Oryzias latipes: one gene and its partners. The protein of the gene in region 2 purifies or fractionates together with the protein of the main gene of each other region. This does not show direct contact. Links are inferred from orthologs where the notes say so. Each region holds a gene or a part of one and is shown on either strand. Other genes may lie near its edges. The genes, in order: ripk1, p53-induced death domain-containing protein 1 and death domain-containing protein CRADD-like.

Region 1 (4,623 bases), on a different chromosome or scaffold from region 2:
TGCCAGAAGACAGTCATCTATATAGACTGGGGTCATTTGGAGTCTGATTTAAAGACAGACTATAATGAAAAATGGTGTGTTTGGTGTTTTTAACATGTTGTTGACACATGAAGAAAATTACGCTTCTGAGTATTTCCTTTTCCAAATCGCTGTGAATCAGGAGCATTTTTTGTTCCGCCAGTCATGTTGGGTTGCGGGTGTTTTGGGCTGTAAGCTAGCAGGAGAGCATGTAAACAGAAAGCTCTCAGTTATGGGTGACGGGAAGAGGTGTCGGGGTGGCTCCGCACCAACAGTCCTGCCCACAACTCAGATGAATTTTTAATGCATAAACTATGTCCCAGAAAATGACACAAGTTTTTTAATGATTTAGCTTCAACTTTTCAGCTGTACAGTAAATGTAAAAGCCTACGTACCGTCTCCAGCATGACTAACAGGTTGCCCCGAGGGAGAAGTTCCAGAACCAGAGAGCAGTCCCTGTCCTCCATGACCACACCCAGCAGCTTGACCACACGCTCATGGTTCAGACTTGCCATGATGCTCCCCTCCTCCAGCAGCGACCTTTTACTTTCTCTGGAAAAAGACCATTTATAAAGAGGATGCATGAAGAAAAGACAACATCCCACCCCTGTGTCTTAACGGCAGGGTCCAAAATAATCTTCATTATTATAAGTGATCAAAACCATAATTTAACTGATTCAGTCTTATTCCAGTTTTCCTGTTTTTATTTTTTTAAGTCACAGTTTGCAAGTGAAAGCGCAACATTACTGCTGTTTAGAATGATTACGCACTCAAACCTTTAACATTAAATGTCACTGTTTAAGACTCACAAGTTATGGAAACGCTATGATGCACTTCAGTGCTTTTTAACACAAACTGTCCAAGTATTCTGTCATCAGCATGAACGTAACAATGAAATAAGAAATAAATGGTCAAATAAAAACTGAAATAAGTAAAAAGCAGAAAATAAAAAGATAATCACTGCACCAGTTAGCCAATTTGTTTCTTCTCATAAACTAAGAATGATTATGATTATACAGTACATGACTGCAGAAAAGTAAAATTATCACAGAAATCCTGATTTTGTTGTTGAAGTTCTCAGTGCAGAACAGATTCTGATTTACAGAAGTTTTAATAAAAGCGACGTTCTTTTTTTTCTTTTTTGAAGGTTTTTTTTTTTTTTTAAGGAGGGGTCTGACTTTAAAGAGAGATAAAGACGTGACGCAGAGGTGGAGATGTTGAGGTTTGTTTTGATGAGCATGGATAAAACCCAGAAACAAGCTCAGTGTCGATGTCTGGTCATCTTTTGATCTATTCTCCAAGGGTCCCCAGTGGTCTTTTCATGATAAATGTACCGTTTTCTAGGACATAGTTTCTGCAGAGGAGCAGTAGTTCTTAAAAATTCACCTCTGAGTTGTGAGCAGGACTATAGGTTTGGTGCAGCCCCGGCCCCTCTTCCCGTCACCCATAACAGAGCTCTGTGCTTACATATTCTCCCGCTAGCTTACAGCCCCGTTTTGAGTCAGATTCCAGCTCAGACGAGGAAAAGGAAGACGTACATGGATCTATTTGTCTTCATCCAAAAGAGCGGAGCAGGGAGCCTGTGGCTTGCTGTTGTAGGTTCTACATCACACCTATAAGCTTTTTCCAATAGCTTTATTTACCTATGTATTTATTTTTGCTACACTTTTTTCATTCATTTTCTGTACCGCTTTGTCCCTTTCGGGGTCACGGGGCTGCCGGAGCCTATCCCGGCTTTTTGCTACACCTGATTGACAACTATCTAGATAAAAAAATAAAAGAATGCATTTTTGATGTTAATTTTCTTTATACATGTCCTCCTTCGTGATAAAAAATACAACAGGAACATGTTAAAAACGCCACAAATGCTATTTTCATGGGTGTGGGCCTTTAATGGATTGAGTAAAGATGAAGATCTTGGTTTAAACCTAGACTGGCTGTGGCGACCCATGAGGGGAGAAGCCAAAAGGATCAGAAGATAGAGATCTTATATGTATTACTTTAACTGTAAAACCCAAACAAACAAAATAAAAGTTGCTTGTTGGTAAAGGCAGCTCTTTGGAGGTACATTTCAGAATCACTGATTAAATGAAATAAAATCACTGTAGTTAAAGTGTCATTATTATTATTATATATATTAATTGTTATGTGAACATCTGCCACTGTTTACCACACATGTCATGTCCTTTCACATGCAGATGCTCCAATAAAAGAACTGAATCCCTGAGAACTGGATTCTGTTCAGGGGGAAACCCCCAGATCATGGTGACAATCAGGCCAACACTTACTCGCTACGCAGAGGACCGGTGTATAAAGTCTTCAGGACCACCTGGCCGAGGGTCGCGTGGTAGCACAGATAAACTTCCCCGAAGCCTCCGTAATCCAGCGGCTCTCTTTTAATCAGATCCGTCGGCCTCATGTGAAGTGAGGTTTGCGGCGCGGAGGCCATCCCTGCGAGAACTTTACAGACCTGGACACGCCGAGGCTCCCACACACACGACCGGCTAACACTCTTCGTAGAAAACAAACCAAAACGTTGAAATTAAGCATGAAATGACACAAATTCAACCTCCCGGAACTTTCAGGTCACGTCGAAAGCCAAAGGAGGCAAAACAAGCGAGCGCCTTCAAGTTTCGGGGCGTCCGGAAGTAAACAAGTACAACTTTTCTTGACAGCAAAAACTTGAAATAATGAAACTACACTATAACCGCCATACTTCTCATTCAATGACATCACCACAGAATAAAATTAAAAGGTGACCTTCTATTCCAGGTGTTCTTTAATTCAAACGACGGCCACTTCCGCGGACTTCCGGGATTTCCTTGAAGTGAAACTATCGACATTCCGTTAAAACTACAAGCAGCCTTACAAGTCGATTACCGAGAAAGAACCCAGGTTAGATAGTCGATTCAGATTTCACAGGCTGATCACATCAGCGTGAGACAATAAAAAATAAAATAAAAATAAAATGACATAAAAAATGCACCTTTGACTGCATTGAACTAAATTTATAAATAAATATAGAACATGATTTGTATAAGTAAATATTTTGCGATAAAGCTACATCTGGGCTCTGCCTGTTTAAGACGTAAACACTTAAATTAAGTGTGCAAGTGTGCACAGCATCCTGATTTAAATTATTTCAATCAAATATTCTATATATTTTTAGATTTGAATTTTTTACTTTGTATCAAAAGGTCAGTAGCAACTCAGCTGCACAAATACAGAATATTAACAAATAAAAAAAATACTTACGGTATTTTTTTGAAACAATCACAGAAAGCCAGTTTTTTTTTATTTTTTATAAAAGAACACAAGTCTTACACAACAATTTAAAATAAAAGCTTAACACATCCACAAACTAATTTGAAAAAAAAAATGCAACCACAAGGGGGCGCAATTCAGTGATTAAACGCCAAAGTAAAATGCAGTGTAAGGAGGGGCATCTGTTGTATGAACAAAACCCAACCAAACATGTAAACAGAACTTTTGTTGGTTTGGTTGTGACCTGAGTTAACAACCACCACCACCGATGCTGTTGACCTACATGTGGAAACTGGACACATTTCGGTCATGTTTGTGGGCAGAGAAAGAAAAGGGAAGGCGGGAATGAAGGACTGAGTGGGAACTTTGGATGCAGAGACTTTGACATAGAAAACTAGAGAGTTGGCGGACATGATCGAAAGAAGAACAGTGGATATTCTGTGTGTTCAAGAGACCAGAGGGAAAGGAAGCAAAATTATACACGTGGAACAGGTCCAAGCTGTTTTATTATGATGTAGATGGACGGAGGAAGGAGGAGGTGAAGAGAGTCAAGTGGAGTCTGAAGGTTGAAAGTGTAAAATTGACTGTTTTGTGGTTAGACTTTACAGGTAGGATGTACGCTGGAGGAGAAGAAAAAAGTCATGAGGAAGATGCATGAAGTGGTCCAAGGTATTCTTAGAGGGAAAAGGAGGTGGATCTGTACAGCCTTGCGTGGCAAAAACAAAAACAGAGATGGATAGGTGTGCAGCAGGTTAAGCTGTTCAAGAACAGAGATGGAAATGAGTCAAAAAGGTTCCACAAGTGTGATTGAAAAATAGAAGAAGAATGTTGAAGATGATGGCTACCCATCATCTTGTGATCTAGGATCTGATCTACCCATCTGATCTAGGATCAGGAATTAATCCATCAGAGGAGTAAGATCATTTTTTGGAGATGCATGCAGGGAAGCAAAATGAGATGGTTTGGACGCATTGAGAGGAGGGACAGTGATTATGTTGGTGAAAGGATGCTGAGGTTGGGGCGACCCCTACAGGAAGCAGTTGAAAGCCAAAGAAGATTTGACAATTAAATTGCAGGTTCATTGTTAAAACATTTATCGAAACTAGAGCAGGAAACCACCTAATTTGTAGTCCCTGGCTGTGTGGGCTTCATGTAGACCTACATTTTGGGCAGAGTATCTGTGAACGCCCACACGAGAGATTACTCCTTTTTACGCAGGAAAGCCACAACAAAGCAGTATTTACCTGTTCAGCGTCGTGCCATTTTATCAGCGTACATTTGGATTCTTTTTCTTTTTTTGGTATTTATTACTGGTAATCAGCCCATTTAAAATTTTCAGCT
Region 2 (4,577 bases):
ATGCTTTTTTCAATCAAAAACTGTTTTGAACGAGAGGTAACTTTCATTAGATACCATACATGCTTTTCTTTTTTTCATTCATCTTCTTGACCCATTTTATCCCTTTCAGGGTCATGGGGCTGCCCTGACCCCCACCACTCGTGGGTGAAGGAAGGGGACATCCTGGACAGGTCGCCAGTCTGTCGCAGGACTACAAATCACACACACCCATGCACACTCACATTCACAACTAGGGACCATTTAGAGTAACCCATAAACCTTTGAAGCATGTTTTTGAAAAGAGTCCCCAGAGAAAACCCACACATGCACAGGGAGACCAAGCATACTCCACACAGAAAGGACTTGACGACGACAAGGGCGCTAACCACTGATCCACCGTGCAGCCAAATACATGCTTGTCACTGGTAAAAGGCAGCAAATGTGTTTTCTTTTCAAATAATCATATGCATATTGCTCATTTCATTAATTTTAAATGAATATATCTAATTATCTTAAATTTACAGATTTAAACTATTTTTGAAAATAAAGTTATATTCCGTGATGTTGACATTGCCAAAGCAGGTTTTTTTGGGGGAGGGCACTGCCAGGCGGCCGTGGTGCACCGTAGGTAGGACGGTCGACCTCTGATCAGAAGATTGCAGGTTCAATTCCCGCCATGTGTCGAAGTGTCCTTTGGTTAGACACTAAACCCCACCTTGCCTCTGGTGGAAACCTGGGGCCAGTGTTTGGCAGTAGAGTGCATGAATGGAACTTAGAGTGTAAAGCGTTTTGGGCTTTCGACTAAGGTAGAAATGCGCTTTACAAGTATAGACCATTTACCATATTTAGTTTGGGTTGAATATTGTTGTTTACATTTAATAAATACATTTAACTAAGAATATCATATTTATACCTTCAGAAATTCAACACCGTGGGGACGAAGTTCCAGTGGACGACTTAGTAGGAGGTCGTGTTCCTCCAGCCACACCCACTTCCTGTTTGGCCTCTTTTCCGCCCAGCTCAGTCTAGTAGTTGTCAGCAGGCAACGGCAGGGGAACACCAGCTCAGCCCCCCCGGGAAGAAATACATGACACCCAGCAGGAGTAACCCAAAAACTATGGAACATAGACAAATCTTTAGTATAGACACAAATGCATTACATGATCAGATGGCTCTTAATGTTACTATCCCGCTGTACCTGTGCTGATTAAATCCAAGGTGCAACTCAGGCATTTCTGTCACTGATCGACCTGTTTAAAGGAATTAAACAAATGTTCTGCTGATAAATGTGTGAAGCAGATAATTATTTGAGAAAAATCCGTGTGATTTCTTTCAATCTGTACCCAGTGTAGGAGGGAGAGGAGGAGGTGTTGGAGGTTTTCCCAAAGGATTGTCTCGTGCATCTATTTTAAGCTGAGGCAGTTTGTTTAGACACGATGGAACCATACGGAGGTGATTGCTGTATATAACAAGTTCCCTGAGAGAACAGAGAGATCCTGCAAGAGGACAGAGGAACATTATATCTTCACGTTGGTTTAGATCATTAAAAATGTTGCTCACCCTTAAACCCTTACCCATGCTCTCTGGAAGCTGCTTTAGTTTGTTGTGGGACAAGTCCAGCTTTACAAGCTCACTCAGACCACCGGTTTCTTCAGGTAGTTTTTGCAGGAGGTTGTGCGACACGTCAAGTTCCTGCAGTGTCTTCAGTTGACTTAAACTTGGAGGAAGGGACTCCAACATGTTCCCCAGGAGGGAGAGGTAGGTTAGAGAGGACAGCTGGCATATCTCAGGAGGCAACGCCGAGATGAAGTTGTGACAAAGCAGCAGTGAGGAGAGCAGAGGCAGGCTCAGCAGGCAGGGCGGCAGACAGGACAGCTGATTGAAGGAGAGGTCCAGGTGCACCAGGTGTGTGAGAGAAGACACAGATGATGGCAAAGTGGTGAGGAGGCCAGGCAGAGGCGTCCCCTTTGAGTCATACAGACGGTGTCCTTAAAGAAAATAAGGCAGGTCAGCGGAGAACGAATACAACGTTGCAGATATGTCAAATATACTTTGAAATATTACCCCGGATAGCAAGTGAGCGCAGCTCTGTCAGGTTTGACAGCACATTCAGGGCACCGTCCAGCCCGGATCTGTCCTCAGAACCAAGCCTCAGGTACTGGATGCCCCTCAGCTCGGCTGGAATGGACCCCCATAGCAATGGCAATGCACCTGCTCCCCCGGGGTACACATCCAGGGTCAGTCTCGTGTCAGTCAACACAGCCGAGAGCTCCACGGTGGAGGGCAATGGTGGACTCAGAGACAAGCCAGAAGAATGGGAGGATGAGGAGGAACATGAAAGCACCATATCGTGATGGCTGAAGGAGCAAGAGGTGGATGAAGAGTTTGATATGGATGGATCACAAGTACCCAAAAGGCTTGAGGGAGATGCACTTTTGTCATAGTTTTCTGGATCAAAAGCTCCTGCTTGGCTTTTAAGCATCAAATCACGTGACATACTGACTCCAGCCTCCTCACAATTCTCCTGAGCCCCGTTTGAAAGTGTTCCCCGCTCCCTTTGAGCTTCGGTTGGTGTACTTAACGGGTTGGCTGCCGGTGCAGCAACCTTCTCTCCATCTTCCAACTCATTCTGTTGCGTGTTTTGAGCAGCCGCCTGGACCCCACCTTCTTCTTCATCAGAACTTTGGTCTCCTTCGCCGCCTCTCTCCATCAATACAGTTCACACATTTTGACAACAGTAATAAGCCGACTGACAAGTCCTTTTCAAGTTTACATTAGTGCGTCAGATGAAAAGATGTCAAATCTGTGGCAACAAAGATAACTGGTAACCGTTACCGACATACGTTTTCAGCCAGCCACGGAATGAATGTGCCTTTTTTTTAAAGCCAACACTAGAACTACATTTTATTTCATGCTACATTCTTTCTTTTGCTTACCAACTGTCGAAAAAGTTACATAGCTAGCGAAAAACACAGCTTCCGGATGAAACAAGTGATTTTGAAGTAGAGGTATTACGTCACAGTTATAGGTTCGTTTAGATTTCCTGCGTCTACCGGTTGGCGAGGGGCGGGTGTTTGCACACGACACAAATGGCGTGGAGAGAAAGTCCCGCCCCTCTTTTTGTTCAGTGTCTAACAAAAACAAGCGTCACGGTGAAGGCACCGCCAAAGTTTCAACGCTGGGCGGGACATCATTGTCAACTTGAAAACGTGTGCGGCATTGTCTCAACACGGACACTAGATGGCGTTGTTGGTTACAAATGTTAGCTGTGTGACAATAATGTCATCACTGTTTAAAATGTGAGGCCTTGTTTTTTTTTTAAATAAAAGTTTTATTATCTAAATTAATACAAATGTCCCTCTATATATGAAACTAAATGTATATTTTGGTCTAATCATTTAAGAACCTGGTAAATAGAGTGTGTCATGTCTATTTTCTAGATAAATAAGTGTCAGTAACCATCCTTTACCTAATCTGGATAAATTATTTCTGCCCTCCTCTAACAGTAGGTTTGATCTGGTTTAAGTTATATTCAAATATCATCTGTAATTTTTTTAATCTTTTTTTTTAAATTGTACTTTGTTATCTTTGTAAGAAAAGAACACAACACAAACCAGCACAGCACAGCAGATATCTAACTAGTTAAAGGTTCACACAAAATCTAGGTTAGAATAACATGTTGAGATATTTTCTTAAAACACTTATTACTTTGAAATACAAAATGTGAGCCTCCTTTAACAAAGTATATCAGCTATTTCTCGAGGTGATCCAGATAAGGCTGCCACGTCTTGTAGAAAAATGTCGGAGTTACCCTTTAACCGGGCACTGAGTCGTTCCATCGGACAAACTTTCCATTGAGTAACGGATGGAGGTTTCACTTGTATCCATTGTAGCAGTATACATCTCCTAGGCAGGTGTAAAGGTTTTTGGATCAACCTCATACTTCCAGGTAACACAGGCAACCTTCCTGACTGGCCTAAAAGAAACAAAGTAGGGTCCAGGGCAAAAGATTTACGAAAAAATTGAGCGGATCCCTGTAGCAACAGTTTGCCAAAATCTGGAGATCAACTGACACTGCCAAACACAGTGATAGCAAGTTCCTACAGTGTTTTTACACTTTATACAGAGAGATGAGCGTTGTGGTTGAATCCTAAAACCTGTGGAGTATATTGGGTCTTGTGTAAAATTCAGTATTGGTTTTCCCTGAGTTTGTTACATGTAAATGTTTTTTTTGTACACACAAAAGCATTTGACCAAGTTTCAACATCAAGTTCAATCCCCAAATCTGCCTCCCAACGATACCCAGATTTCTCACTTGTGAGAGGGTTCGATGCCATAGCAGAGCAGAGAGAAAGGAATTTCTTCTTGGAGGAGGCATTTTTATTCAAGTTGAGAAGAAAGAATTCTACTGGGTGTAGGATTGGTTGGTTACCTGGGAAAGAAAGAGAGGTCCGAACAAAGTTCTGGAGAAAACCTAAAAAATCTTGGTGTGATATTCTAAATATATCTTGAATTTGTCCAAAAGACAGAAAATCACCTTTTTCTAAAAAAAATTGCAGACATGTTTTTAACCCTCATCATTCCATTTGTTAAATATC
Region 3 (4,536 bases), on a different chromosome or scaffold from region 2:
AGATAATCTCGCTCTGTGTCGGCGCTCCGCTTGTTTACAACGGACCGCTGGATTTCTTCTTCTATGGTGTGACGGTGTGGCAGCGTCAGCTGGCGGTGCTTTCCACCCTGTTAGTTATTTTATGTGTTCTTTATTACAAGAAGCCATCACTAAACCGCTCCACGCGGGGCCACATCAGCACATGACACCCTCCAACTCTCCCTTTTCACTTCCTGTGATGCTCCCTTTTGAATGATAAGCCCCTCCTATTGGGCGTTGCCCTTCATTACCTCCCAGGTAACATAGCAGGAGTCAGTCTTAGACATTAAAACATAAAATAAATAACAGGGTGGAAAGCACCGCCAGCTGACGCTGCCACACCGTCACATTTGGTAGTATGGTCATTTACAGACCAATCACTGTCTGACACGTCATGTGACGTCAGCACTAGTCCCATGACCCCGAACGGGGGGGTATTCCAGGAAGCATGTTTAAACTAGCCTGACTTTAAGCCTGAACTCTGGCTGAAATCCGCCTGAACTTGCTTACTCTGGGTATGTCGGTTACAAAAGACCGGATATGAGTTGGCGTAATCACGCTCCACTTGGTAACCCTGGGTTAACGCACGTGCACAGCAGGGGCCTGTTTCAGAAAGGAGGTTTAGTGTAAACTCTGAGTATGTTAACCCTGAAATCAGGGAAACCCTGGGTTTTCCGTTTCAGAATGGGAGGTTTGTTAAACCAGAGTAATCAGAGTAAGTCAAACCCGTTTCTGAAAGAGAGGTAACTTATACTCGGAGTCAGTGTCCATGGTTACTTATGCTGTGAACCTAACCTGGTCGGGAGCAGGTTTTATTCTCTAAACTCAAGGTTTCTGCCGGTCCCCTCCCCTTTTTAAAGACGAAGCGGTATTTTTCACTTTAACCTTCATTGCCCACATTTCCGTCACACAGAGACGGTCTAAGTGACAAGAATGGCTTGTCCTTTTCTGGAGGACCCAATAGACGAGGAGGCTGCATTAATTCCTAGAGAATTACATTAACGTCGTGCGAGGATTTTGAGAAGACTCGATGTTTTGTCATTTCCCCAGACGTTTTTGTTTGAGCGTTACCGTTTTTCGTTGCAGTCAATTACATATATACAATGAAAACAACATTAGATATTGCTATGTAGATGTTTCATATGTCAAATATTGTCAACATGCCTACATCCATGACATGCTCAACTTTGACCTGATTGAATTATGTTTTTATACTTCATTTTTAACTGCTGCCATGTTCTTTTAATTCCTGCAGGATTGAATCTACATGAAAATGAAATCAGGGACATTGAATTACATTAATGTACCAATTACTTTATGGAAACACAATTTGCTAGCACTGCTTACTTTCTTAATCCCATATAAACCACTTGATCAATACAAGGGTAGACAAAAGGTCACTTTTAAAAACACAATTGCATGTATTAATATTAAACTGACCAACGTTTGCAAGAGGGGAAGGTTAACAAAAAAGTCCTCTAAACATTACTGACGTTAAATGCATTTTTCCCCCAGATTGGTTCTGTACACTATGCAGCATTTCATGCAATTACACCAGGAATAACACTTCAAAAGTAAACCTAAATATCACCATTTTTTATTTCACACCTTACGCTATTTAAAAAGTTATTACAGCCAATATTTTATAACAATGATTTAAATGCAAACTTAGGCATAAACTTGAGCAGCTATGTTTTCCACGCTAACTGTCTCTGTTTTGCAGATGCAGCGGTGTTGCTTTTCTTCTGGAACATGTGCTCATATTCACTGTAACTCTGCAGCAGCACGTCAAGTTCAGCTGGAGAAAAATACGCAGACCTCTTTTTTTCACGGTTGCCATGGTGACTCGTAATATCTGCGCTCCATTGATAATGGCTTCTTATAGTCGCGGTGCGCACGCTTAACTCTGAATTAGTCCACTCAGAATTGATTGATCTAACTCCGATCAGCTTCTCTGAAACAGAAAACTCAGAGTTGTTAATCTCTCGATTGACCAACTCAGAGTTCAGGTTTAACCTCAGAGTTGGTTGAACCTCCTTTCTGAAACAGGCCCCAGGTACATGAAGACATTTTCAATAGATCACATATTTCTGGAGTCACCATGGAAACGCGTGGAGAACCAAAGAGAGCGCTATACTTCAGTGAGACGGAGTCGGAGATTTAAATGACGGCGTATGAAGATTATACGACCATCAAAAAAGTAACACGGCTGCATCATCAGCAAAGAAAGAGTTTCTGCTTGGAGTAGAACAGACAAAGTAAACGCACGAGTTTCTGATCTCATTTCCATTTTCCTTTTGACGCATAAATACATATATATATATATACATATATATATATATATATATATATATATATACATATATATATATATATATATATATATATATATATATATATATATATATATATGTATATAAATTATAAAATTATCCAACTTAAATTAATTATTTCAATTGGTAACAACTCAATATTTTTTTACAACTCAAATTTCCATATTTATCTAACTGAATGTCATTTTACTCCAATTCAATTAAATGTTTTTCCATCTTCATTTATTGGACTTTCATATGTCTAAGTTTGAGCCGCAGAGATTCTCATTTTTATGACATGAAATGATTGAAACCGAACAGATTTGCATCATGAAACCTGCTGACTGTCACCATTTCTCTGACGTCATCATCACACCACTGAACAGTAGTGGTGCTCTAAACTCATCCTCCTCTTCCTCCCTGGTTATGGTACCACACCGCTCCCAAGTGTACTCCACTCGCACCTGCGGCTCTTGGTTCCGGTTCGGTCCTCAGCTCGTGCACCAGCCGGTCCCGGATCCAGCTGAAGTCCGCCAAAGACTGCATGAAGGCGGGGAAAGCTCGCGGCCCGCGGTTCGGGAGGATGTCCAGCAGCTTCTGGCTCTTTCTCGTGTCGGTCGGTTCCGATTCGATGTCCTCTACGTGCGCATGGGTCAGCACGCCCTCCTGAAACAGAACCGGAACTATGGATTCGCTGACCATCAACTGGCTGCAGAGTTCCGCGCGGAGCTTCCGGAGCACAGCTTTGTGCGCGGGATCCATCCGAACCCGAACCACACCCGTGCTGGGTCCGTCGCTGCGGCCAGCTCCAACTAACCGGTCCAGTTAGTCATTGTCCGTCCATGTTATTGTGCCCGACTGGAAACAACAAAACCGGTGTGGGTACCGGATGTTCTCGGGTTGCCGGATGTTCTCGGGGTCCTTCGGGGTCCTTCGACCAATGATGACGTCACACTATTTGATTGGCTGTAAGTTGCCACGACCAATGAGTTAACGTCGCTAAGTTTTTTAAAAACTTTATTGACAATTGCGGTATCATACATTAACAATGACATTAACGTTAACAACGAACAATAACGATGTAATCAATATTGCCTCGAAGATCAGTCACCATTGCCAAACATAACATATTAACATAGAAAATAAAGAATAGAGGGGAAAAAAGAAACAATGAACATAACACACAAATAAATAAAAACATAAGTAAAATAAAATAAAGGAACATAGAAAAAATCTAAGTAGTCTAATACTAGTTAAGTTAGGGGTACTCGTGAAGTTTGTATTTCTGAACAAAACTAAGCAATTTCAAGCCATTCTTCTTTTTCATATAATGAAGTGATTGAAAGCAAAAACAGAGCTCTTTATTAAATGTTATAAAAGTGGTTTGGGCTTCAAAACTTGACCTCACCAAGATGGCGGTGCTCTCCTCCCATGAGGAACCACGTGATGTCTCCTCTAGTGATATAACTCATTGGAAGGACCCTGAAGGACCCCGAGAACATCCGGCAACCCGAGAACATCCGGTACCTACACCGGAACTGAAGTTGTAGAACAGAAATGTCCGCATTCAACAATTCCAATTTAGATTTATTTATTTATTTTTATATATTTATTTTTTATTGAACAATTGCAAAACGGTCATTTGATTAAAATGACGTCATAGTGACGTCAAAAAGGAAAAGTTGAGCTCTTTATTCAAATCTACCCAAACGATCATTTGGAGATAAGTCGAGTTTTCCTCCTTGATCAGATATAAATCTTTATGTTTTTGGATAAAAACCTGCGTAGTGCTGTAAATATAATCTGTGAATATAATGTAGCGACCTGAGGGAAAGCCCCGCCTTCTGCCCCCAAGACTCATAGGAAGTGGGGAATCTTGTTGTGAAAACCATGAGTGAGAATGCTGGGAACACAAGCCCCTTCCATGCTGTTTGTGTGTGTTCGAATAGATGGACGTTGATGCTGAAAAGGAGACTTTGATTCTCTGCCTAACTCTTCCCCCCTGAGACTGTCCGGGGCGTGGGTGGATGGGGCACAGACAGCACCAGCAGGGTCGTAACAATAATCTGTTAATATTACTTTGCTTGTTTTCACATTGACCACAAAAATAACAACTAATAACAGATGATCCTGCTTTACATCCAATATGATCCATCTTGGTTCCAGGATGAACCCTGCAGAACGAAGAGGAGAGAACCGGATCCCC

What was found.
Region 1: the proteins of p53-induced death domain-containing protein 1 (region 2) and ripk1 purify together in Homo sapiens (affinity purification with western blotting; 3 studies listed by BioGRID and IntAct, with this or other methods). This does not show direct contact. The link is inferred for Oryzias latipes from reciprocal best matches to the Homo sapiens genes PIDD1 and RIPK1.
Region 3: the proteins of p53-induced death domain-containing protein 1 (region 2) and death domain-containing protein CRADD-like purify together in Homo sapiens (affinity purification with western blotting; 8 studies listed by BioGRID and IntAct, with this or other methods). This does not show direct contact. The link is inferred for Oryzias latipes from reciprocal best matches to the Homo sapiens genes PIDD1 and CRADD.

What each region holds. Positions count from the first base shown.
Region 1 is NC_019875.2:26,472,697-26,477,319, forward strand, and holds the start of ripk1 (receptor-interacting serine/threonine-protein kinase 1), read right to left. Parts: upstream 2,881-4,623; 5' UTR 2,779-2,880; exon of another isoform or gene 2,531-2,778; 5' UTR 2,468-2,530; coding exon 2,307-2,467; intron 571-2,306; coding exon 414-570; intron 1-413. UniProt on the Homo sapiens protein: Serine-threonine kinase which is a key regulator of TNF-mediated apoptosis, necroptosis and inflammatory pathways.
Region 2 is NC_019864.2:15,844,372-15,848,948, reverse strand, and holds the start of p53-induced death domain-containing protein 1, read right to left. Parts: upstream 3,192-4,577; 5' UTR 2,690-3,191; coding exon 2,044-2,689; intron 1,968-2,043; coding exon 1,554-1,967; intron 1,476-1,553; coding exon 1,323-1,475; intron 1,230-1,322; coding exon 1,178-1,229; intron 1,095-1,177; coding exon 893-1,094; intron 1-892. UniProt on the Homo sapiens protein: Component of the DNA damage/stress response pathway that functions downstream of p53/TP53 and can either promote cell survival or apoptosis.
Region 3 is NC_019881.2:23,808,950-23,813,485, forward strand, and holds the start of death domain-containing protein CRADD-like, read right to left. Parts: upstream 3,269-4,536; 5' UTR 3,093-3,268; coding exon 2,795-3,092; intron 1-2,794. UniProt on the Homo sapiens protein: Adapter protein that associates with PIDD1 and the caspase CASP2 to form the PIDDosome, a complex that activates CASP2 and triggers apoptosis.